2 linked regions of the Lonchura striata genome follow. The protein of the gene in region 1 interacts with the protein of each later gene in a pairwise test. Links are inferred from orthologs where the notes say so. Each region holds a gene or a part of one and is shown in the gene's direction. Other genes may lie near its edges.

Region 1 (12,172 bases):
CGCCAGCCTCAAGTGTGCGGGGGGCCCGGGGGCTGCGGGGAGGCTTTGGGCCCGGGCCGGGGACCCCGGGGAAGGAGCGGCCGCCCCCCGCAAGAGCCGGCACAGCAGCTTCCGCCGGCGGCTGCTCAAGTTCATCCCGGGTCTCAACCGGGCGCTGGAGGAGGAGGAGAGTCACCTCTAGCCCCCCCCGCCCGGCCCCCCAGGACTATTTATTTATTTATTGCGAGGGGCTTCATTCCCCCGGCCCCCATCCCTGGGGGCTGCAGAAGGAGGTTTGGGTTGGCCCCGGGGGGGTTCTGATTTGGCCCCTCCGACCCCGGCCCGTGGGGATGGTGACGCCGAGGGACGGACGCGACACCGAGGGACAGACGTGAGGAGCCTCCCGAAGCGGCTCCGTTCTCGGGAACGGCGCCTCCCTCCCCGGAGGGGAGCACCGGGGTAGCCCCGCACTCCCCAGGCTGGGGGGGCTGGGGGGGTCCCACCCCTGCCCCCCCGGGCTGTTGTACCACGCCGGTGCTCGCCAATACAGAGAGGATTTGCAGCGGTGTGTGGCTGTGATGAGAGGGGACAGAGCCCCCCGTGGGGACCAGGACGGGCAGGGTGGGCTGGGGGTGACCAGCTGCTGTCACCTTGGCCGTGAGCGAGCTCCCGGGGACCCCCCGTGTCCCCCCGCCTGCCGCAGCCCCCGGTGCCGTCCCCACGTCCCGGTGCCGTCCCCACGTCCCGGCGCTGCGGGGCCCCGGCCAAGCCAGGCCCTTCCTGCCCCGTTTCCTCCGGCAGCCGGCGGGAAGCGGCTCCCGCCCCGAGCCCTTCCGCCCGCGGGGGACACGGTGCCCACGCAGGACGGGCACTGGTGGGGTCCCCCCGACCTGCCTCAGTGTCCCCCAGAGCCACTGAAGCGGCGTGCAGAGGAGCTGGGGGACACAAAGCACCCCCGGAGCTGGGGGACTGCTGCAGCACCGGTTCCCTTGCACAGGCGCTCCGTGGAGCACCGAGAGCCCCCAGCCCTCTGCTCTGCCTCAGTTTCCCCCTTTGGCCGGGCTGTTGCATGTCTGGGGACCCCAATTCTCCCCTTGCCCTCCCCGTCCCCCCCGGGAGAGCCTCTGGAGGTCTGGGGGTGAGAACTGCGGGTGTCTGTGCGTGCCGTGGAGCGGGGGGTGGGGGCTCAGCTGGCTCCCCCACACTCTCCTGCCTTGTCCCCGTTCCAGGGCAGCTCCGTGCTGGACATTTATGGTCTGGCCCCGCAGCCCCGGCGGCTCCCGGTGTCCTCCCGCGTGCTGCCCGGGTCGGAGCATCCCGTTCCCGTCAGAGTCACCACGGCACCCCCCGTGGCAGCTGCCACCCCACGCTGAGCTTTTTATAGCCCCGACCTGGGGCTGCGTGCGCCCGGGAATGGGCAGATGGCCGTGGGACACCGGGGTCACGCGTGGCACCGGCTGAGCCGAGGCTGCGGGGTACAGACCGGGAACGCCCCGGAACCGCCTGTCATTACCGATAAAGATAGGCCCGGGGCAGGGAGCCAGGGGTAGCCGTGAGCCCCGGCTGATCAGCGCCCGGGCACGGGCACCCTGCAAATCCCAGCGCCCACCCTGGGGCTGCCTGGCGGTCATCCTGTCCCCGTGTCCCCACCTGGGTGTCAGGGGGGATCCCTGGGGCTGCTGTGAACAGGGGTCCCCCCGCTGCACCCCCGTGGCCTTGCCAGGGTGGCTGGGCTCGGGTTTCCTCCCCCGAAGCCATCGCGGTGCCCGCGACCTCTCCCGGGGTACAGCTAATCCCGGCTGCGGGGGCTGCCGCTGCCACCCTCCTGCCTCCGGTACCGCCGCCACCAAGCCAGGGATGCGGGGGGCTGCGACCCCCGGTGGCTTTGGGACCCCCGGCAGCTCTGCGACCCTCCTGTCTGACGTGTCCCGAGGACTCGTGGCCGAATCCCCGGGCTGGCACCGGCCCTGCCCCTCGGCAGGTCCCGCCGGGCCCGGGGGATCCCTCTGGGGGCGGCCCCGGTGGTGCCGCGGGATCCCCAAGACGTCAGTGACCGGTGTGACGTCAGCGGGCAGGTGTGATGTCACGGAATCCCGTCGGGGGCGGGCGACAGCCAGAAGCGGCGCCGGAGCGAGGGAACGGCTCCCGGTCCCGGGCCGCCACCTCCGGTACCCCCGTGCCGCCACCTCCGGACCCCTCTGGTGCCGGGCTGCCCCCGCCCCGGCTGCTGCTCACGGGGCCGGGGATTTCGTGAGGCCATGCAGGGTCCCGGTACCGGAGGTCCCGGCAGCACCCCCGATGCCGGCAGCGGCTGCCGGGACACCGGGGCACCGGCCCGGCCCCGCGGTGGAACCGTACCGGGGCCGCTGCCGCTGCAGGGGCACTAACGGGGGAGCTGTCACCCCCGGGGGCGCTGCCAGCCCGGGCACGGCGGGCCGGGTGCCCCCAGACCCCCGGTTTGTCCCTGGGAATGGAAACCGGCGGGTACGGCGAGGGACGGGACGGAGCCGGTACCGACGTGTACCGGGTCGGTAGCAGGAGATCCCAAGGGAGTACCGGGGTAGTATCGGAGGGTAGCGGCTCAGAAGCTCCGCGGTGCTACCGGAGGGTATCGCGGGAGGTGCTGGAGTCGTACCGGAGGGTACCGGGATGGTACTGGAGGGTATCGCGGGAGGTGCTGGAGCCGTACCGGAGGGTACCGGGATGGTACCGGAGGGTACTGAGGGGGTACCGGCGTGGCACCGGAGGGTGCTGCGGGCTTGTGGGTCCCTTCCGCTCACCGTCCGCCCTCCCGCGGGCCCGGGCCGGCTCCGCACCGGCTGAGCTCATCTTTCCAGCCCGCGGGCGCTGTTCCCGGCGCCGGCGCCCGCCAGCAGCCGCCGCTCTTTCCATCGCCCCGGCCAGGGGCTCCCCGCGGGGACCGGGCGGGGGCGGGACCCCGCGGCACTCCCCCCGCACCCGGCACCGAGCGGGAGGAGCCCGGGGGTACCGGCGCCGCTGAGCACCGGAGATACCCGCATGGGCACTGGGCATAGCGGCACCGGGGGTACGGGAGATCACCGGGGAGAACGGCGGCGGGGGGACACCGGGAATGGGGCAGTGAAGATACCGGCACCGAGGGGGCTCCGGGGATGCCAACACCGAGGGGACACCGGGGATAATGGCACCAGAGATCCTGGCGCCTCGAGGGCACCGAGAATGGTGGTACCGGCAACGAAGGGACACCGGGGATACCGACACCGAGAGCCTACCGAGGCTGGGCACTAAAATGATGCCAGCACCGAGGGGGCACCGAGGGTGGGCGCAGCGGAGTACCAGCAAGGAGGGGACACCGGAAATACCGGCAGCGAGAGAGGGCCGGGGCTAGAGGCAGCGGGGGACGCCAGCCCCGGGTTCGCAGCAGCGAGGAGACACCGTGCATACCGAGGAGCCACCGGCTGCGAGGACACCGGGGATACCCCTGACACCGGGGCCTCCCTCCCCCCGCCGGCGGCCCCCGGTGCCCCGGGGGGATATGTGGGGAAGCGAGGGGCGCCCGGGCTATTTTTAGCCGGGGCCGCGGGGGTATTTTTAGCCGGGGCCGCGGGTGCGTCAATGGAACCCCGCGTGCGTCACGGCCGCGCCCCCGCCGGGGCCGCCCCCCCCGTGCGTCACCGGCCCCGCGCCGCCCCGCGCGTCACCGAGCGCTTAAGAGAAAGTAGTGGCGGGGCCGGAGCCCGGCGGAGCCCGCGGAGCGGCGGTGGCAGGAGCAGGAACCGGAGCGCCGCCGCGCCGGCACCCGGGTACGGGCGGCACCGGGATGCGGGGAGCGGGTGGGGGGCACCGGGGGCAGGGGGTCGTGCTGGCAGCGGGGGCGGGCTGAGCGCAGCGGCGTGGGGTGTCCCGGTGGCACCGGGGGAGTAGGAGCCGTTGTCCGGGGCGGCACCGGAGGGGTTCAGATCGGGCGTGGCAGGTGGCGCCAAGAGGATCCGGGTCGGGCATCCCGGTGGCACCGGCGGCTCAGGGCGGTGGGCGTCCTGCAAAGTGGATGGATGTGGTCGGGTGTCCCAGTAGCGCCCCGGGCAACCGGGTCGCGCGTCCCCGTGGAGCCGGGGCTCGCGTGTCCGAAGGACGCGGTGGAAGGGACTCCCGGTGCCACCGGGGAGAGTCGGGGGTCCCGGTGGAAGGGACCGGGCTGCGTGCGCTATGCGGGATTGCCCCTTGTGGGTATCCGGTGACACCGGGAGGAGCCGAGTCGGGCGTCCCGCGTGGCGCTGGGAGGTGCACGGGATCGGGCGTCCCAGCGGCACCGGTAGCACCGGGAAAACCCGGGAATCCCGCAGCCGGCGGGAGTTGGCAGAGCGAGAGGTCCCGGTGCCGGGGGTCCCGGGAAGAGCCCGGCACCACCCTCTCCTCCGTGAGGAGCTGCGCAGGACCGGGAGCCGCTAGTTGGGCCATGCGGGAGCGGGGGCTGGTTCCCCCATCACGGCAGCCTAACCGGGGCCAGCTGCAGATGCAGGAAAGCCCCGTCTCAGGGGCAGAGCCACCCCACACCGGGCATCACCCCGGGATCCCCGAGCAGAGCGGTCACGGAACCGGAGAGGGCAGCAGCGGGGCAGGCAGGAGCACGCGGGCAGCGCCGGGCACTGCGAGCAGGGATGTGCCCGCAGCCAGCCCCGTGCGGGCAAACCCCCCGCTGCCCCCGCGGGCCTGGCAGCAGCCGCTGCGGCATTACCGGGCAGCAGGTGCCGGCAGGGCCGTGGGCAGCGTGAGCCGCCCCCGGTGCCACCGGCTGCTCTCGCCCGCCCGCGGCCCGGGGCCCGGTGCCAGCGGCTGCCACCCGCCCGTGCAGGCGGCAGCCCCGGGGCTGGGCACGGGCGGCTGCCCCGCGCTCCCAAACCAGGAATCTGCAGACAGAGCCCGGCCGTGGGCAGCGCCGAGGCTGCTGCGGGAATCTGTGCCCGGTCCCTGGGGGGGGACAGGGCAGAAGGGACCCCAAATGCTCTCAGCGAGCGGGTGAGAGCCAAAACCTTCAAACAACCGGGAGCACGGGAAGGGTCGAGGCGTTGCATTTGCCAGGGTTTTCATGCAGGCAAGGAAAACTCCCACTGGCACAGACCGTGTCCCCCAGGGCGTGTGCCCAGCACAGTCCCCTCGGCTTCATTCAGGGACAGAAGGCAGCTGGGGGGTCACTGTTCCCTCTGAACCCAGCTGGACACGCACAAACTCCACTGCGACCACCAGCAGGGGGCTGGGGGCTGGTGCCATCCCGTGGGTACCAGAGCTGGACCCACGCTGGATATTTTTAAACCCAGCTCCTGGCGGGTGTCGGCTTTCTTGGTGCCCGAGAGAGCTGCCCAGATTTGGCTGGGGGAATCCGGGGGCTCTGGCAGCAGGGCCGTGCCAGGACGTGGCCGGGGGCCAGTGCAGCGTGACCTTTAAAGGTCTGCGAGATGAATTACATTATCGTCTTGCCATTGGGGTCACTTCTGGCTTGGCTTTCAGCTGGACACAGGACTCCGCTTGTCTTATGTCCCACCAGCTCCACGCACAGCCCCGGGGGGCTCCAGGGACTGAGGGTGGGCTCCTCTCCCCCTCACCTGGAGGGCTGCCTGCACCAATTTTCCCAAAAAGCCCCAAAAGGGGTTACGGGGGAAGTGAGATCCCCAGAACCCAGTTCAGCCCCAACTCTGGCTCCCTTGGCCAGCCCTAGGGCTTGGGAATCTGCTGGCCACATTCCTCCCTCCTTCCCTTTCGGGGGCTTTTGCTAAGCCAGCGTTTTGGGGAATGTCCTTTGCACCCATTGGCTGTGCCGTGACCTTTCTCAGGGACAGCGGTGGCCGCCACCACGCAGCCAGTGGCTATGGAGGTGCAATTCCAGCACGAGGGGAGCATCCCACGCTCCCCACCGTGTCTCCATCCTCTGCCTGGATGCCGGGGGGCGGTGTCGGGGCGCCGCTGACGCCCCTCTCTCCCCGCAGAGATGCCCTGCATCCAGGCGCAGTGCAGCACCACGGGCGCCGGCCCCTGCGAGCGCTGCCCGGCCGAGCTGCTGAGCCCCGAGGGCGGCCGATTCCCCATGGAAGTGGCCGGAGCCGACCTGGCGGCCGCCCCCGCCCTGCCCAGCTTCAGCACCTTCATGGAGGGCTACGCCGGCGAGTTCGACGCCTTCCTCTACCAGCTGCCGGCGAGCGGCCAGTCCAGCGCCGCCGCCGCCGCCGCCTTCAAGCTGGAGGACTTCCAGGTGTACGGCTGCTACCCCAGCGCCTTCGGGGGGCAGCCGGACGAGACCCTGTCCTCCAGCGGCTCGGACTGCTACGGGAGCCCCTGCTCCATCCCCTCGCCCGCCACGCCGGGCTTCCAGCCCCCGCAGGCGCCGGGCTGGGAGGGCTCCTTCGGGCCGTACTCGCCGCTGCCGAACTACGAGGGTGGGCAGCCCTGGGCCGAGCCGGCCAAGGGCGGGGGGTCGCAGCCGCCTTTCTTCGCCTTCGGCCCCCCGGCCCCCAGCCCCGGTGGGTCCCCTGCCGCCCTGAAGGGGCAGCTTGGCGCCTCGCCCCGCGTGGACCCGCGGCTGCTGGACACGGACGCCTTCCCCCCGGCCCAGGGGCCTGCCAGGGGTTTCGGGGGGCTGCCCCTGGCCCCCGCCGCGGCGCTGCTGGAGGGGCCGGCGCTGGCGCCCAGCAAGGTGCGCAGCCCCGGGGCGGGCGAGGGCCGCTGCGCCGTCTGCGGGGACAACGCGTCCTGCCAGCACTACGGCGTGCGCACCTGCGAGGGCTGCAAGGGCTTCTTCAAGGTAAGGGGAACCCCCGGGCCGTGGCTGCCGCCGGGATACTCCCACAGTGCTTTGCGGCGGCAGGAGGATGCTGCGGGGTGTCCCGGGGAGGGGCAGGGCAGGGAGCACGGCCGCCGAGCCCTCCCCACGGACACGGAGCCGGATGCTGGGCTGGAGAGGGAGGCAGGGGAGGACAGAAGGGCTTTTGTTCGGAGCTCAGCGCCCCGGGCTGAGCTCGGCCGCTCCTTCCCCACCCGCAGCGCACAGTGCAGAAGAATGCCAAGTACATCTGCCTGGCCAACAAGGACTGCCCTGTGGACAAGCGGCGCAGGAACCGCTGCCAGTTCTGCCGCTTCCAGAAGTGCCTGGCCGTCGGCATGGTCAAAGAAGGTAGCAGGGTCCCGTCCCGGGTGGGGGCACCCAGCAGGAGCGGGGAGTCCCCTCTCTGCAGCCTCTCTGGCTGCACTGAGGGCACACACTCACTGCAAGTTCCAACCGCAGTGGTCCGGACCGACAGCCTGAAGGGGCGGCGGGGCCGGCTCCCCTCCAAGCCCAAGCAGCCGCCGGACACGTCCCCGGTCAGCCTCATCACCTCGCTGGTGCGGGCACACATTGACTCCATCCCCAGTGCCACCAAGCTCGACTACTCCAAGGTAGGGCTGGTGCCACTCCATGCCCCGCCCAGGGCCGTGCCAGGGCTGGGGCTGGGTCCTGACCCATCCCCATCCCAGTTCCTCATCCATCCCCATCCCAATCCTGATCCTGTCTCCATCCCAATCCTGATCCTGTCCCCGTCCCAGTTCCTGATTCAAACTCATCCCTGTTGTTAGCCCAGCAGTTCCTGACTTGTTCCCATCCTAGGTCCTGACCCACCCCCATCCCAATTCCTGATCCACCTCTGTCCCAGGTCCTGACCATCCCAATTCCTGACCCATCCCCATCCCAATTCCTGATCCATCCCCATCCCAATCCTGACCCATCCTCTCCCAATCCTGACCCATCCCCCAATTCCTGACTCATCCTGTCCCAGTTCCAGGAGTCAGCCCCGTGCCCGTTTGAGAAGGAGGACTCGGTGGATGTGCAGCAGTTCTATGACCTGCTCACCGGCTCCATGGACGTCATCCGCAAGTGGGCCGAGAAGATCCAGGGCTTCACCGAGCTGCCCAAGGACGACCAGGACCTCCTGCTGGAGTCGGCCTTCCTGGAGCTCTTCATCCTGCGCCTGGCATACCGGTGAGCCCCGGGGCAGCGCGGAGCAGGGGGAACCCGAGCCGTGCCCAGGGGTGACGCCCGGCTTTGTGCTGCCAGCTCCAAGCCGGAGGAAGGGAAACTCATCTTCTGCAACGGCGTGGTGCTGCACCGGCAGCAGTGCGTGCGCGGCTTCGGGGAGTGGATCGACGCCATCCTCGAGTTCTCCCAGAGCCTGCACCGCATGAGCGTCGACGTCCCCTCCTTCTCCTGCCTTGCCGCCCTCGTCATCATCACAGGTGAGACCCAAACCCAGCTCCGGGCCCGGCCCGTCCCCACCCGCAGCCGGTGTCTGTCCCCGCGGTCCCACAGCCTGTGTGTCCCCCCAGACCGGCACGGCCTGAAGGAGCCCAAGCGGGTGGAGGAGCTGCAGAACCGCATCGTGGGCTGCCTCAAGGACCACGTGGCGGCAGCAGGCGCCGAGCCCGGCCGCTCCAGCTGCCTCTCCAAGCTGCTGGGGAAGCTGCCCGAGCTGCGCAGCCTCTGCACCCAGGGCCTCCAGCGCATTTTCTACCTCAAGCTGGAGGATCTGGTGCCGCCGCCACCCATCGTTGACAAGATCTTCATGGACACTCTGCCTTTTTGAGTCCCAGGCAAGGAAGGGGCTGCCGTGAGCTCCTGACCTGCCTGGGGACATCTGGGACCCGCCCTGGGCAACCCTGGTTCAGTCCAAGGATGCCCGGGAACCCCCTGGGCACCCCTGGGTCACCCCTGGGATGCCTGGAACATCCCCTGGGTACCCTAGATCAGCCCTGGGATGTTCCCACCCTATGGGTGACCCCCATAATGCCCAGAAACCACCTGGGCATCCCTAGATCGCTCCCAGGATGCCTGGAACCTGCCCTGGTCACTCCTGGATCAGTCCTGGGATGCCCGGGACATCCCTGTGGATTCCTGAATGACCTCTGGGACACCTGGGACCCCCTGGGCCATTCCCAAGCCTTTATGTATACCCCTGGATCACCCCTAGAATGCCTGGAAAACCCCCCCCCGGGTCATCCACAGGATGCCTGGGACCCCCTGGGCACTCCTGGCTCGCTCCTGGAATGCCTGGGACCACCCCTGCATCACTCCCGGGATGCCTGGGTTCCCCTCTGGATCACTCCCAGGATATCTGGGTCCCTCCTCAGATGCCTGAGTCTTCTTGGGGGCACCCTTGGGGGTTCCCCATGTGCCTTCACGGCCCAGGGTGCAGCCTCGCAGCAGCCCTGGCGTCGTCTTTCCCCGGGGGCATCGCCGGCGCGGTGCCCCCTTCCCCTGTAAAAACGCCCCTGATGTAAATAGCGCCGGCTGGGTCCTGTACAGAGTGGGGGGCGCGGGCGGGGGGTGGCTCCGGCCCCCTCAACCTCGGCCCCTTCCCCTTTATATATATTTTTCTGGGTTTCCCCCTTTTTGGCCGTTTTCTGTATATAAACTTGTACGTACAGTGAGAGGCACTGGGCGGGAGCTTTGTCCCTTGTGTTCCCCTTTAGTGAATATTTGGGGATTGGGAAGGGGGGACAGAGCAGCGGGGCTGGGGACAGCTGGAAGGATGGAGACGGGGAAAAACGGGATTCTGGAGCTGGGGGCAGCCAGAACACCGCGGAGGGGGAGAGCCGGAGGGAGCAAACAGGACACGGGAGCTGGGGACAGCCAGACTGGGGACAGTTAGAGCTGGGGACCGGAGCTGGTGACAGCCGGGGCTCGGGACAGTGGAGATGTCAGAGCTGGGGGAAGCTGGGACACTTGGGCTGGAAAAAAACAAGACGCTGGAGCTGGGACAGCCGGGGCGATGGAGCTGGGGACAGCTGGAGCTCCGGAGCCGGGATGCTGGAGCTGGGGACAGCCGGGCCGGTGGACGTGGGGACAGCCGGGATGCCAACGCCGGCGACAGCCGGGATGCCAACGCCCGGGACAGCCGGGGCTCCGGTGCCGGCGACAGCCGGGATGCCAACGCCCGGGACAGCCGGGACACCGGAGCCGGGGACAGCCGGGGCTCCGGCGCCGGGGACAGCCGGGACGCCGGAGCCGCACGTTGCCCACGCCGCTGCCCTTGAACCGTCACTCACCCCCGGCTGCCGCGGCCCCGCACCTGTCGCCCGCCTGATTTATCCTCCCCAAAATAACCGGGAAGCGTGACCGTGTCCCCCGCTCGTGTTCCTGGGGACGTGGCCATTGCCCTGGCGGGGGGGTGGTGGTGTTTGCGCTCCCGAGCTGGGGACAGAGCCGCGGGCTTCCGAGGCAGGCGAGTGGTGCGTTGTCCCCCGGCTTGTCGCCTTCCTCCTGCCGGGCACAGCCTGGCCCCGGAGCAGACGTTACCGGGGACACCCGGGACGGTGCGGAACAAGGGCCACATTGAGGCGCGGGGCCGGGGGCGACACACAACAAGGGTCCCTCTGTCCCCCCCGCCGCCGCCCCCGCTGCGGGGACAGCGCTGACGCACGGTGGGGCCGCGGACGGGAGTCGGGGCGGGGAACGGCGGAGCTGCGCACAGCGGGCGCGGTGGGCACGGGGTTGGCAGCCGGCACGGCTCGGCACGGCTCTGCTCTGTCCCCTCCTACAACTCAGGGCTGCCCTCGGCCACCATCGCTGTCCCCGTTCCCTCCTCGGCACGGGGACGGGGACGGTACCAGCAGAGCCGAGTAAAAGCAGCTCCGGGGAGAGCTCCGGCCACGCCGCCGGTCCCGGGGCTGCTGGGCACGGATGCGGCTGTGTCGGGGTGTGCCCGGCTCCCACGGCCACATTCCTGCTGCGACTGACACCAAGCCATGTGTCCCCACGGCAGCGCGGCCGATCAGTGCCCCAGATCCCCGTGTCCCCGTTCCCTGTGTCCCCATGTCCATCCATCCCCTCTTCCTGTGTCCCCCCAGGTCCCCACGTCCCTGCTTCCACTACATCCCGTGCCCTGTGTCCCCGTGTCTATCCCTGTCCCCATATCCAGCCGTCCCACTGTCCCTTTGTCCCCCTTCATGTCCCTTTATCCAGTATTCCCCCCGTGTCCCCATATCCCTGTGTCACGCTGTCCCTTGTGTCCATCTGTCCCTGTGCCCCCCCTCCCCCACTTCTTTATTCCCCCACGGTCCTGCTGTCCCATATCCTTGTGTCCCTTCATATCCAGGTGTCCCCCGCGCGTCTGTGGTCCCCACGAGCCCGGTCCGTGCCCCTGTGCCCGGTGTCCCCACGCGTGTCCCGCCGCTGTCCCCGCAGGGGTCAGCGGGGGACACCGGCCCGCCCGCCCCGCTGCAGTACCGCGCGGAGCCGCCAGCACCGGGGGCGCCACGGAGCCGCTGAGCCGCTCTGGGCTGCGGGATTGCAGCTCTATGGCCCCCCTGGAACGAACCAAAACGGGGAGAGGGGAATGGGCGGACTCGGAACGGCGATTCCGCCCCCGGCGGCACCCCGCGGCCGGGAAGGGCACGGAAGGGGCGAAATCAAGTTAACAGAATGGAGTTCAGAGAGATGAAACGCGGCGTTAATGACCGGAGGGGTCGCTACGGTGGGCAGTGGTGTGCCCTGACCCCCCCGCGCAGATGGGATGATCCACTTCCCTCCGCCCTGCCGTCAGATGGTCGGGACCGGGCGGTGAGTGCGGACCGGGCCGGGCTCGGGACCGGGGCTGAGGGCACCGAGGCGGGTCCGGGGCCTCGAGCCTCCAGGGAACCTGAGGCGCTCCGTGGGAGGCTGAGGTGGGCTCGGGCCGGGACGTCCGGACCTGTGTTGGTGTTTTCGGGGGGCCCAGCCGGGACCCCCCGGGCTCCTGTGAGGTGAGGGTGGGCCCGTACCGGGACACCCGGGTCCCTCCGGGGTGTTGGATCCCTGAGGGGACATTTGGGGTGTTGCAGAGCCCGTCGCAGGACTCCCGGCTGGGGTGTGAGGGGAGCGGGTCGGGACATCGGCGCTTCTCTGGGCTGGTGGGGGCTCGGGGCCCCTGGGTCTCTGCGCGATGCTGAGGGGCTGTGCTGGGACCACACTGCGGGGCGAGCACGCCCTGGGACACGGCCGGGATGTTTGGGGAGGGAGCCCGCCCATCCTGGGACAGCTGGATCCCTTTGGGGCCACCCAGCCCTGGAGTCTCCTGAGCTTCTGCGAGGTGTGTGAGGGCCCGTGTCTGCGGGGTGTGAGGGACTTCAACCAACTCCATCTCTGTGGGGCTACGGGGAGCCTGGATGCTTGTGGCATGTGGGGCACTCGGCTCAGCACATCTGGGTCGCTGTG
Region 2 (11,692 bases), on another chromosome or scaffold:
ATTTCCTATACTCGTGAACCTTGTATTTTAGAGAAAAAGATACCAGATCCCAGATTTTAGGGAATTTCAGACTCTTGGAGACTAGATGACTTCAGGTCTTTCCATCAGTATAGCAAGCATCGTACTGCCATCTAGTGAGCAATGTAAAAGCAACCGACACACCAAAGTGCATAAATATTTCTCATTACAAGCCGTTTTTCATAAGTGCAATAGAAAAGAAAAGTACATTTGGAAGTGTATGGAACACAGCTAGAAAATAGATAATATAAAAATCTTTGCAAGATAAAAGTGAAGAGGACAGGCAGGCCAGCATAACAAGAGGAGTTAGGAGTTCTTTATGACCATGTTATCCCACCATCCTGGGAATGCAGCCTTCTCTCCTACACGGATCAAGGGGTCACCCATGCTTCAGACAGTAGGGTCAATTTTTTGACAATAGCTAAATATTCAATTTTCCTTCACTGCCCAAATGCAAGGCATGTAGGACAGCCATAAGCTTGAGCAAAGCTTTAGTGGCTACCCACAGAAGAGGCATCCCCCAGGTGCCACCAATAAACATCAGCAACATCTGTTCCCATTCTGGTTTAAGAGAATAGAAAATTAGGTTGCCACAGGGCTTCTTTCCATCCACGAGGCTATGGTTCTTGAGGACAAGACACAGCTTTGCTTTGTCTGAGCAGAGAGGTGACAAATTTTCCACCTTTTCCCAAAGGCTGACTGAGCTCAAGGCTTGGACCAGAGTGCTCTAGGCTCAGTTCAGATCTGAGAAGGCAGAACCACGGGTGGGACCTGTGACTGCCACTGATGGAGATCACTGCAGTTGGCACAGTGAGGTTGCTGCTCTGTGGGTGAAGGTCTGCCTTGGTCAGCACCTCCAGACAAAGCCAGCAAGGTGATTTTGGCAGGCAAGCTCCTGGCTGTGATGGCCTCAGGGCACAGCAGCAGGCTGCCAGCAGCAGGTCCAGACATCCAGCATTGGCTTTCCCGTGCAATTCCTCAACTGCCCTTCACAGTCCACTGACTTGCAGAGAACAGCAGATGTCTAACAGGTGTTGTTCAGCACTGACTTTCCCTGTCCTCATCAGTACAGATGGCCAAAAATTGTTCTAGTGCACATAGGTGTTTTGGGCACTTTCTTTGCATACAGACTTGTTAAAGGAAGAAAAAATGTGATAGAGCATAAACACACTTGTAACCCACTCTCAGGTGACTGCCAAAGGAAAACTGATGAGGTCCTGCAAAGACTACATGATTTGTCAACTCAAGAAGGTGGTTTCACAATGTTTGTTTTTTTCACAAACCTGCAGATTCTGTCAGCCCTCACAGAGGCAGAAGAAAGCTTGGAACAGAGGTGCTTTAGAAACCATACTCCCCCCTCGCCCTGTGACTAGCAGTACCAGCCATCCTTTGTTGCCATGGTCAAACACATCAGTAACCTGCTCTGCCCTGCTCCTATCCCACAGGCCCTGCAGGGTTTCTGACACCAATGACATAGGAAGCAGAGCTGGCTAGAGGAAAAAGAAAAGAAGCAGAACTTTTCTATGGCAGGTGTGTCTGCAGAGGAAAAACATAAATTCATCTCTAAACATTAATGCATTCTCCAAAGTCTGCAGGAATGAATATGTCTATGATGCATCTATAGAATAAAAGGGGCAGGTTTTACAAAGTCTATGTTTACTCAGTTCATACTGCTTCCACTAGCTGACAACACAAGCAGAAGTCAGGATATGTTGCCACAGCTCTCTTCACAGAGAGCAGAAGGCACAACTTTCCAGGTATTGTCCTGGGGAAGGCTGTGAGAAGATCAGAGAAAACAATGAGAAACAATTCTATCTTCACTTGCTGCACCGGTTGTTGTGCACATGTGGAATGTGTTATGGAGATTTGTTTACTAAAGGTTGATTTCTTAATTGGCCACTGGTGATGGTGTTTGGATTTGAAGGACAAATCTGGTCTGTCTGTATTGGACTGTCTGCATGGGTCATGGTTTTTTCTTGGATAGAATGAGATGGAATGGGATGGGATGGGATGGGATAAGGATAGGATAGGATAGGATAGGATAGGATAGGATAGGATAGGATAGGATAGGATAGGATAGGATAGGATAGGATAGGATAGGATAGGATAGGATAGGATAGGATAGGATAGGATAGGATAGGATAGGATAGGATTGGATTAGGATGGGATTGGGATGGGATAATAAAGTAATTGATCAGCCTTCTGGAATCATGGAGTCAATGCTAATTATTACCCAGTGGGGAGTCCTGCTATGATAAGGAGGCAGCTCTGTTAAAGCAAATGGCACCACCTAACACTCCTCAGCTTGATGCACTCTTTCTTCAAGGCCCCTTTGCAGCCAGCACACACACAGCTGACCTCACCAGTCTGGCCTTAGCAAGAGCTAAAGAGAAGAAGTGCTCTCTAATTGTTAATTTTAATTATGGTCATTTTGTTCCAATCCCTCTCACAAAACAGATGTTTTCTACCCTACTTTCTCCAGAAAAGTTTCCTGTGCTATAGACTTTTTGTCATGCACGATGAGCAATGCAATATATTTGTTAAAATGTCCCTGTAAACCATGAAGAGAATAAAACCAACTGCTAGATTCACCAGCACAATATTGAACATCTGCTCCATCTGTTCTAGGAAATGGTGACGGGTATCTTGCTACAATATATTACACTAATTTTTCCAAGATATTTTTATGTTTGGTCATTTAAATTGCAGTGAGGTATTTTATTACCACACAGAACCTCCATAACCACGTCTAAACTGCTTCAGTAACCTAAATCACTCCCTGCTTACATAACTTCAGTGCCACTGTGGCAATGACATCCTGCCACTATCAAGCCCTTTGCCAAAACTGAGCCTTCCTCATGGGGCTGGATAGGGAATGACAGGAGCAATGCTGCCTGGGTACAGTGGGGAAAAGGAAGGATTTAGGAGATTTCCCCTTATATGTGCTGAACCTTCCCAGCTGCAGAAGAGCTGTGTAACAGGATGAATGTAGCAGTGTTTCTCTTATCACATTTTCACAGCATCACTTAATATCACCAATTCAAACACAACAATCAGCATGCAGTCAAGTATTTAATCACTGGGAAAAGAAATACTGCTGGCCATCTTCTCCATTTAGACTCTGAAGAGTGGTATATATTTGGGTTTCATCATGGATTCCATTTATGAATTGCTTTCATCTTTTAATCACTTGCAGAAGTCTTGAGAGTATACCATCAGCCAGAAAGTCTTTCTTGTTGCTCTTTTGAACTCTATCATATATATATATATATAGGCATGATCCATGCTTAATCCATATATATACTTAATCCATGCCTATATATACTATATGTTCTACATATATATAGGCATGTTCCATGCCTATATATACTTAATCACATATGAACCTCAAATTAGTGCTGCTAAACTAACATTATATTCTGCAGATAAAACCTTTTTTTGTCCTTCAGCATTTTCTCCACTCACAAGAGGCCTGCTTTTTTTCTATTTTACTGCATTCATTTTACTGGTTTTCTCTCACATTTAGAAATACATAGGAATATCTTTCAACTGCAAGGTTTTACTATTATGCAAAGTCCATACCTTGCAACTGCTTTTTTTTCTTTCAACCTTACTGTATGTCTACCTTTCAAATCATTGCCATATCCTACAGCTCAAAACACCAGCACAAAGAAAAGAGCAGGGTCAACCAAAATAACTTTCTCTGTGAACTCACAGAGGCCAAGATTGTCACTTTTCTTATGAGCACTGAGACTGAGGAAAACTTGATATTAAATTCAGTGCTACTAAAGTTAGATCATGTAAGACAGTAATCTATCAACACATTTTAGCATGCTTAAATGTAAAGCTTGTCTTGTTCCAAGATCAATGGGAATACACAGATTGTATGCTTTTTTCCACCACAACCAGAGTGTTTAACATGAGCAAATGAGTTTTCTTCATCCTCCTTTTAATGACATGACCTTGATAGGGGAGGGGGTGTCAAACAGCAGCACTGAAAAGAACAGGTTTTATCCTGCTTTCAGCACTTGGGGAGGTATGAACAGAGAATGGCCACCACCAACTCCCAGTGAGAAAAACAGGGCAAGGGAACTTCATGTGCCATCAAGTTCATTTCCTCTTTAGGCAGACATTTGATACAATTTTTTATAATTCTACACATGCTGATCAAGCTTGGTAAATATGCAGGTGTTTTGCTCCTGTACTCATGAGAAGGATCTTCCAGAGCCTTACACTTCTGACCCTCAATAATCTTCAATTCCTTCCTTCAGGTGGGCAAATGTGCCCAAGGAAGATTATTACTGTGGCAGTAAGGATATGAGTGGCATGACCCTAACTTGTAGAACCTAGACTGGAATTTAAAGGCAAATACCACAAGAGATGGGAAAGGAGACCTTTCTGGAGAGAAGTCCAAGTTTTGGGAGAAAGGAACACTTAAATCATAGGTTAAGAAGTCCAAGCATGCCTGCAAAATCTTGATTCTCCTGCTCCTGTGAATTTAATTTTGTGAAGTATCTTCATAAAGAGTGAAATCTGTTACAGAAAACCACAAAAATATTAGGATTTTTTCAAGACACAATGTATAATCACAGGTACCTTCCTTCTCTTCTTTTACAGAGCCTTTATTCTTTGAAAATGGCCCTCAGCATATTCTTTTGCCTCTGCTCTTTACATGCCTGTTCTGTATCATTTGAAGGAAAAAAAAATTGTACTGTCCATTCTGGCACAGGTACCACAGCATCCTGCAGCATTTATCACACATCATCTGCAGAGACAGGCTGCAGTGCAGACGATCCTGAAATCATCAGTCTGGACAGCTTTTACTGGACCACCAGTTTTCCCAGAAGATGGCATCCACAGTGCTTAAGGCACAAAAGATCAACACTTTTGGTAAGGGACAGCTCCAGCTCTTTCACACCCTTACTTTTAAGGATCATGGGTAGAATTTAATTGATACACTTGACAGATGACCTGACCTGTCCCTGTCCAATAGGTATGCCTATTCAACCAGAAATTGTGCTGCAAAGCCTTACCAACTGCTTGTCAAAGCCTGCTTACTGTCTTCAAAATCTGTGGAATTACATTCAATCTATGCTTATCTTATATGCTTATATGTAATTGTTTTGTGATATGAACCACAATCTACTCAGCACTGAGGAAAATGACCTCTCACTGGGCAAACTTGAACCAAAGCATCTGGGTCACAGAAATTATCACAGTGCTGGAGCATCTCTTCTGCAAATGTTGAGGTTGTTCAGCCTGGAGAAGAGAAGGCTCCAGAGAGACTTTAGAGCAGCCTTCCAGTACCTACGGGGGCTTTTAAGGAAGATGGGGACAGACTTTTTAGGAGAGCCTATTGTGATAGGCTAAGGAGTAATGGTTTCGAATTACAATGCCATATAGTGCTTAACACCACATATAAAGACATTTTTTACAATGAGGGTGGCAAAATACAGCACAGGTTGAACAGAGGTGGATGCCCCAACCCTGGAAACATTCAAGGTCAGGCTGGACAGGGCTCTGAGCAACCTGATCTAGCTGAAAATGACCCTGCCATTGGAGGCATATTAGAATAGACTATCTTTAAAGGTCCCTTCCAACCCAAACCATTTTGTGATTCTGTGAATTAAGGCACTTAGTATTTAATTTCTGTCGCACCACACTCTTACACAGTCACCACGTGCACTACATGCTGCCCATTCATGAGCTGCTGCCCAGCTGACAATTCAAGGTTTTGGGCCTGAGGCAGTACCCCTTTTCTGCATTTCCTCTATTCGTGAGGCCAGAATGCACAATCTGCATTTGGCATAGCTGGGTATGGCCGCGAGTGGTGGCGTGCCCACAGAACCCACGCTGCCACAGATGAGAGGCGATAGCAGAGGGAGCCCCTCACAATCAGTTTCCTTCTGCAATCCGGATTCGTGCGCTCTCTCCACACACACACGTGTTCTTTCCCCCTTTCTCTGCACAGCCCGTCACTCCCATTCCCTCCGAGGCCGGAGACCGAGCCCGCAGCCCCGCGGCACTGCCCGCGCCCAGCGCCCGGCCCCACAGCCCGGGCCGGGGTTCCTGTACCGGACCCGGGCCGGGGTTCCCGTGCCGGACCCGGGCCGGGGTTCCCGTGCCGGACCCGGGCCGGGGTTCCCGTGCCGGACCCGGGCCGGGGTTCCCGTGCCGGACCCGGGCCGGGGTTCCCGTGCCGGACCCGGGCCAGGGTTCCTGCGCCGGACCCGGGCTGGCTGCGCTGTGACCCGGGCCGGGGTTCCTGTACCGGACCCGGGCCGGGATTCCCGCGCCGGACCCGGGCCGGGGTTCCCGCGCCGGACCCGGGCCGGGATTCCCGCGCCGGACCCGGGCTGGCGGTGCAGGGCCCGGGCCGGGGTTCCTGTACCGGACCCGGGCCGGGGTTCCCGTGCCGGACCCGGGCCGGGGTTCCTGTACCGGACCCGGGCCGGGGTTCCCGTGCCGGACCCGGGCCGGGGTTCCTGTACTGGACCCGGGCTGGCTGCGCCGGACCCGGGCCGGGGTTCCCGCGCCGGACCCGGGCTGGCGGTGCAGGGCCCGGGGCCAGCACACGGCCCGGCCCGGCCATGCGGCGGGCGGGTGTGCGCACCAAGCTCCTCCCCGGCGCCGCCGCCCCTCGCCGCGGGGCCGCGCAGTCGCTCGGCGGGACATGGAGGCGGGCGGCGGGGCCGGGGCGCGGCGCTCCGCGCTGCTGCTGCTCCTGCTGGCGGCGGCGCTGGGCGGCGAAGCGGAGGCGGAGGAGCCGCGCCCGGCGCGGCAGCGCGGGGACGAGCAGTGCCATTACTACGCGGGCGGGCAGGTGTACCCCGGGGAGGCGGCCCGGCTGCCGGTCTCCGACCACTCGCTGCACCTCAGCCAGGCCAAGAGTAGGTGCTGGGCGCGGCCGGGGCTGCGGGAGCGCGGGGCCGGGCGGGGATGTTCGCAGCGCGCCGCGGGGCTGCGGGCGGCGGCGGCGCCGCGCCGGGCGGAGCGCGCGGCTCCCGAGCCCCGCCGCGCCCACCGGCTGTGCTGCGGCCTCGGCCGCGGGGCGGAGGGAAGCAGCGAGGGCGGGCCGGCTCCTGCGGAGCTGCGTGTCCATCGTGGGCCCGTCCGACGGGCTCCGGCGAGGCCCGCGGTTCCGGAGATGGCGAACGAGTTCGGGGGAGCGCTTGAGGGATCCGCAGGAACGTTCTGTGCTCGCACTGCAGTGGATCACAAACAATGCACGGCGCCTCCCGGGCCCGCCGCCGCCGCGCTGGGTTTGGCGCTGCTCTCGTGCCGGGGCTCTGGTGCGGTTTAAGTGCTTTACGTGACAGACCTGGGGACAAACACCGCAAATCGCATCGCTGTGAGATGTGCAGGGACACCTGCTCAAAGTCTGGCCTGCAGGACGGAGAGTACAGAGAGGTCACACAGATATCTTCCATGTGAGAGTTTTAAATGCTTTTCCTTTACAGAGCAGGGCATACATCATACATTCTGTTTTAAACGTTTGCAAGCAGATGCTACCAAAAAAAAAAAAAAAAAAAAAAAGAGGGAAAATCAGCCAAGATATTTGTAACCGATACCTTAATTTAGAAAGGAGTCAAGATATACAGTATTTCGTTTAATATCTTTTCCTTCTCCCTCATAATCTGAAGGTCCTTGTTACACATCCTTGAGAACGATATTCTGCAGCTGTGGGTTGTTCTAAGGAAAGGAGAGCCAAACAATTCAGGCATTGTCCAGATAATATTTAAGATTCCATGTATTTTTCTCAGAAGTTTTTCCCTAATTTGTTGGAGATATACGTCAATATCCTTGACATGGCAAGTGTATTCATACCACCTTGTAATTCCAGCATACCCTATCCTTTGTCTCAGAATTCACAGTGGTATGAAAACAGTACCTGCAGATTAGTTTTTAATATATTAAATTCAAGGTTAATCGCTTCGGATAGGAATAGTAAATACATTTCATGCCTTTCAACTGGATATTTTTTTAAAACATAGCTGTCTTCAAGTTAAATTTTGCTTAGGAGTTGTAACTTAATAAACATATGCTGCATTTTTAGGCGTTTGTCTTTCTTTAACCATGTTGTGGTGTATATTTTTTGTGGACCAGAATTCCAGACAGGTTTCCATGGCTAAAAAGTAAAGTGAATTTTAACTATTTTGTGCTTCTGGTTCCCAACAGCTATTTTTAACAGAACAATGAGAGTACCTGAAGTATTAAAGAGCTTTCCCCTGCAGTCTAGCAGTTGCCTTGAGCTGGCAGTGCACACAGGGTTTGTTCAGTCAGCCCAGATAAGGTTTGTGTGGCCTTGATTGTCGGTGATCAGCAGGGCTCATGTATGAGCACAAGCTGGTCAAATTATTTACTTTGTATGTGTACTAAAGCCTTCATTTCTTCATCGTTCTGTAACCTGTTTAGAGCTGGAAAGCAGTTTCATCTTGGAACTGTGCTGCAGATTGTTTTTCAAGCAAAAGGAAGAACAGCTGTCCTGGGGCAGCTTGGCTTGAACACAGGTGTTATATTCTGACTTCTAATTCAATGTTCTTTGCATTTCAGTCTCCAAGCCAGCACCTTACTGGGAGGGAACAGCAGTCATAAATGGAGAGTTTAAAGAGCTGAAGTTAACTGATTATGAAGGAAAATACCTTGTCTTCTTCTTCTACCCTCTTGACTTGTAAGTAGGAGCACTGTAGACATAACACTGAGTGCAGCTACACTAGATCCGTAATTCATTAATTCTTCTCTTTTCTGAGGTCTTGTATTTTTTGTTTGGTGAGAATTTGGGAGAGAAGAAAGGAATGACAGAAGAAAATATATTCTTTGCATTTGTTTTCTCATCATGCATTGGTAAAATGACAACACAGTCTTTGTCCTAGTAACTGTGTCCACTAATTTGTGTCTCCAAACAAAACAAATGCCTAACCTAGTTAGGCAGACTCTATGTATTGTTTCGTGCTGTAAATCAGTGCTGCAAGTAGAAGAAAGCATCCTTTCTAGAGTGTGTACAATATATCCAAGAGGTGGCATTTTCGCTTTAAGCTCATCCCATAACATCCTGTGAGCACTTAGCATTAACCTCCTTTATTTAGAATGCAGTAACTTCACTGAGTGAAAACATCTCTGCTTTTTAAAGGACAATCCCATTCTTTTCCACAAAATGAAGATAAGAGGACAGAGGTGCATAACTACTTTTAATATGATAACATCACTAGCTTTACTACTTCAGTTCTTCTGTAATAGAAAAAGTTGAAGACAAATTAGTTAAAACTTGCAGATTTGCACAGTAACAACAAATTATAGTATGATCCTCTGAAAGAATTGGTTTATAGTGCTTAAATTCAGCCACATTTGTAAAGTCTAAAAGGAAGTAACTGTACAAGCTCTGAATGCAGATTGTAAAATAACTGTAGATTTAGAGTATTCAGAAATAATCCATTACTAACTAAGCTGGAGTCTGAGGGTGGAGGATTTGTCAGGCAGCATTTTGGTTAAATACTTGAAGGAGCAATAAAAATAAGCAAAAGCTGAAATAATTTACTATAAATACACCATTTAAAGTTAGGCAGAGAATTTACTGACTTTCTCATGAAATTTTGACTTTTATCTTGTCTTAAATCATCTAGTACATTTGTCTGTCCAACTGAGATCATTGCCTTCAGTGACCGAATTGAAGAATTCAGAGCAATAAATACTGAAGTAGTAGCATGTTCTGTGGACGCAAAATTCACCCACTTAGCATGGTATGTATCTTTCTCTTGTCTTTCACTAAACATTATTTATTCATGATTCCAACTTAGTAAAAGAACAGTATTCCCCAGATTTTTAGCCTGTGGAGGTATATCATAATGTGTGAAAGTGTGATGCTGTTGACACAAATGTTTAAAGTTTTAATCCTAGTGTGTGAAAGAATAAAGATTCTTTAAGCTTGTTTAATATGTATTGCTTGCAATATGTCATGTCTCAGTCCAAAAAATACTACTAGAAAATATTAATGAAATCATCAGTAAATGTTTCACGTGTCCCAGTTCATGAGCATGTTGGCATAAAACAAATGGAACTGATAAGAAAAAGGTCATCATTAACAGATGTGGCCAAAACCTGCAAGCCACAAATACTGTTCCATCTTCTTTATGTGCAGAACAGAAAAAAATGTCACTTGCACTAGATCCTTCTGTCCATACTGATTTAGCTTGTGATTTCTGACTTGTGTAGGGAATATAAATCAGTATGAGAAATACATCTCTTATTTCCTTTCCTTCAAAGGATTAATACTCCTCGTAAACAAGGAGGACTTGGACCAATGAAGATTCCCCTTCTTTCTGATCTGACACACCAGATTTCAAAGGATTACGGAGTGTATCTGGAAGACCAAGGACACACACTTAGGTATTTCACTTGGTTGCAGTTGGGTTGGGGTTTTGCTTACTTACTTACTGCTTACTGCTTCATATTTAAAGAAGCATTTGAAATTTTTGTTTTAGAGCAGCTTTTACTTGGGGGTTCATGGCAAGTAGCAAATATTGAAGAACACAAGAAATTTAGTCATAATGAGTCAGAAGAAGGGTCAAGGTTAATATCCTGTTAAACAGCAGGCATCAGTAGAAACCTAGAGCAGGGCAAACGAGCAGGATTTCCCAAAACTGCAGTTGCTCAGGGACCTCCCAAGTCCAGGTGGAGTCAAGACTAAGGTTACCTGAAGAGATGCATTTGCCTAAAACTGAGTAGTTTCTTTTGGGATCCCTGTAATGGCCTAGCATCTGCAGCATCCCCTGGCAGGGCCTGTGAGAGCTTAGTTCCATGTTCTGCAAAGAAGTGTGTCCTTTTTGTTTTAAATGGAGCTCAGCTCATGTCCTCTGATACCCAGGTAAAGAATGGTAGGTTACTGGTGGTTAGTATTATATGATGTTTGCAGACATCAAATTCCTCCCATCCAGTGCATGAAAACACCACTACTGTTAATTCTGTTTCCTAACACACACACAATTTTTTTACTCACAGAGGCCTTTTCATTATTGACAATAAGAGAATCCTTCGACAGATCACAATGAACGACCTTCCTGTCGGGAGATCAGTGGATGAAACACTTCGTTTAGTACAAGCATTCCAGTACACAGACAAACATGGAGAAGGTGCTCTTTAAATATTGCCATATTGAACATTGTTTTACTTAGCCTGGAAGCTGTGTTAGCTTTTTGGAGGAAGGTTGTTCAGTAGCATTAAGGACTGCCTCATTCAGTGACTGAAGTGGTTTGATTGCCCTGCTTGATTCCATGGTCCCAGATCCTTAGGTTGTTTCTAGAATTGTAATTTACATTTCGTTTCACATCCATGAGAGTGAGAGCATAAAGCATTCCTGTAGTCGGAATTTTGGCATGATGTACCATGTGTCACAAGCATAAATTTGTACAAAATATGAGGCTGTGAAGAATGAGGCCCAATATTTCAATACATTTTTGCATACTAAAATAATGGAGATGCAGGCCATCCTTGTCCTGTGTCATTCAGTGAGGACCTGTGACAAGTAATGAGTGTTTCATGGCAAGATACTGTGGAAATTATAGCACCATTACTTGTGTTTTTTGTATAAGTGCTATGTGCTCATCTTTCCCCAACAAAAAAATTCTGCTGTCTTCAGATCATTGCTTTGTATCAAAAATTCTTATTCCTCCAGTTCAAG

Evidence for each region.
Region 2: the proteins of NR4A1 (region 1) and PRDX4 interact in a two-hybrid assay, tested with the Homo sapiens proteins (2 studies listed by BioGRID and IntAct). The link is inferred for Lonchura striata from reciprocal best matches to the Homo sapiens genes NR4A1 and PRDX4.

Annotation. Positions count from the first base shown.
Region 1 is NC_134629.1:6,180,331-6,192,502, reverse strand, and holds NR4A1 (nuclear receptor subfamily 4immunitygroup A member 1), read left to right. Parts: upstream 1-5,939; 5' UTR 5,940-5,941; coding exon 5,942-6,751; intron 6,752-6,990; coding exon 6,991-7,120; intron 7,121-7,231; coding exon 7,232-7,383; intron 7,384-7,760; coding exon 7,761-7,963; intron 7,964-8,038; coding exon 8,039-8,217; intron 8,218-8,307; coding exon 8,308-8,564; 3' UTR 8,565-9,414; downstream 9,415-12,172. Other genes in the region: protein TAMALIN, read left to right, coding at 1-181. UniProt on the Homo sapiens protein: Orphan nuclear receptor. Binds the NGFI-B response element (NBRE) 5'-AAAGGTCA-3'. Binds 9-cis-retinoic acid outside of its ligand-binding (NR LBD) domain.
Region 2 is NC_134604.1:103,723,960-103,735,651, forward strand, and holds the start of PRDX4 (peroxiredoxin-4), read left to right. Parts: upstream 1-6,675; 5' UTR 6,676-6,691; coding exon 6,692-6,908; intron 6,909-8,571; coding exon 8,572-8,689; intron 8,690-9,638; coding exon 9,639-9,755; intron 9,756-10,278; coding exon 10,279-10,401; intron 10,402-11,013; coding exon 11,014-11,144; intron 11,145-11,692. UniProt on the Homo sapiens protein: Thiol-specific peroxidase that catalyzes the reduction of hydrogen peroxide and organic hydroperoxides to water and alcohols, respectively.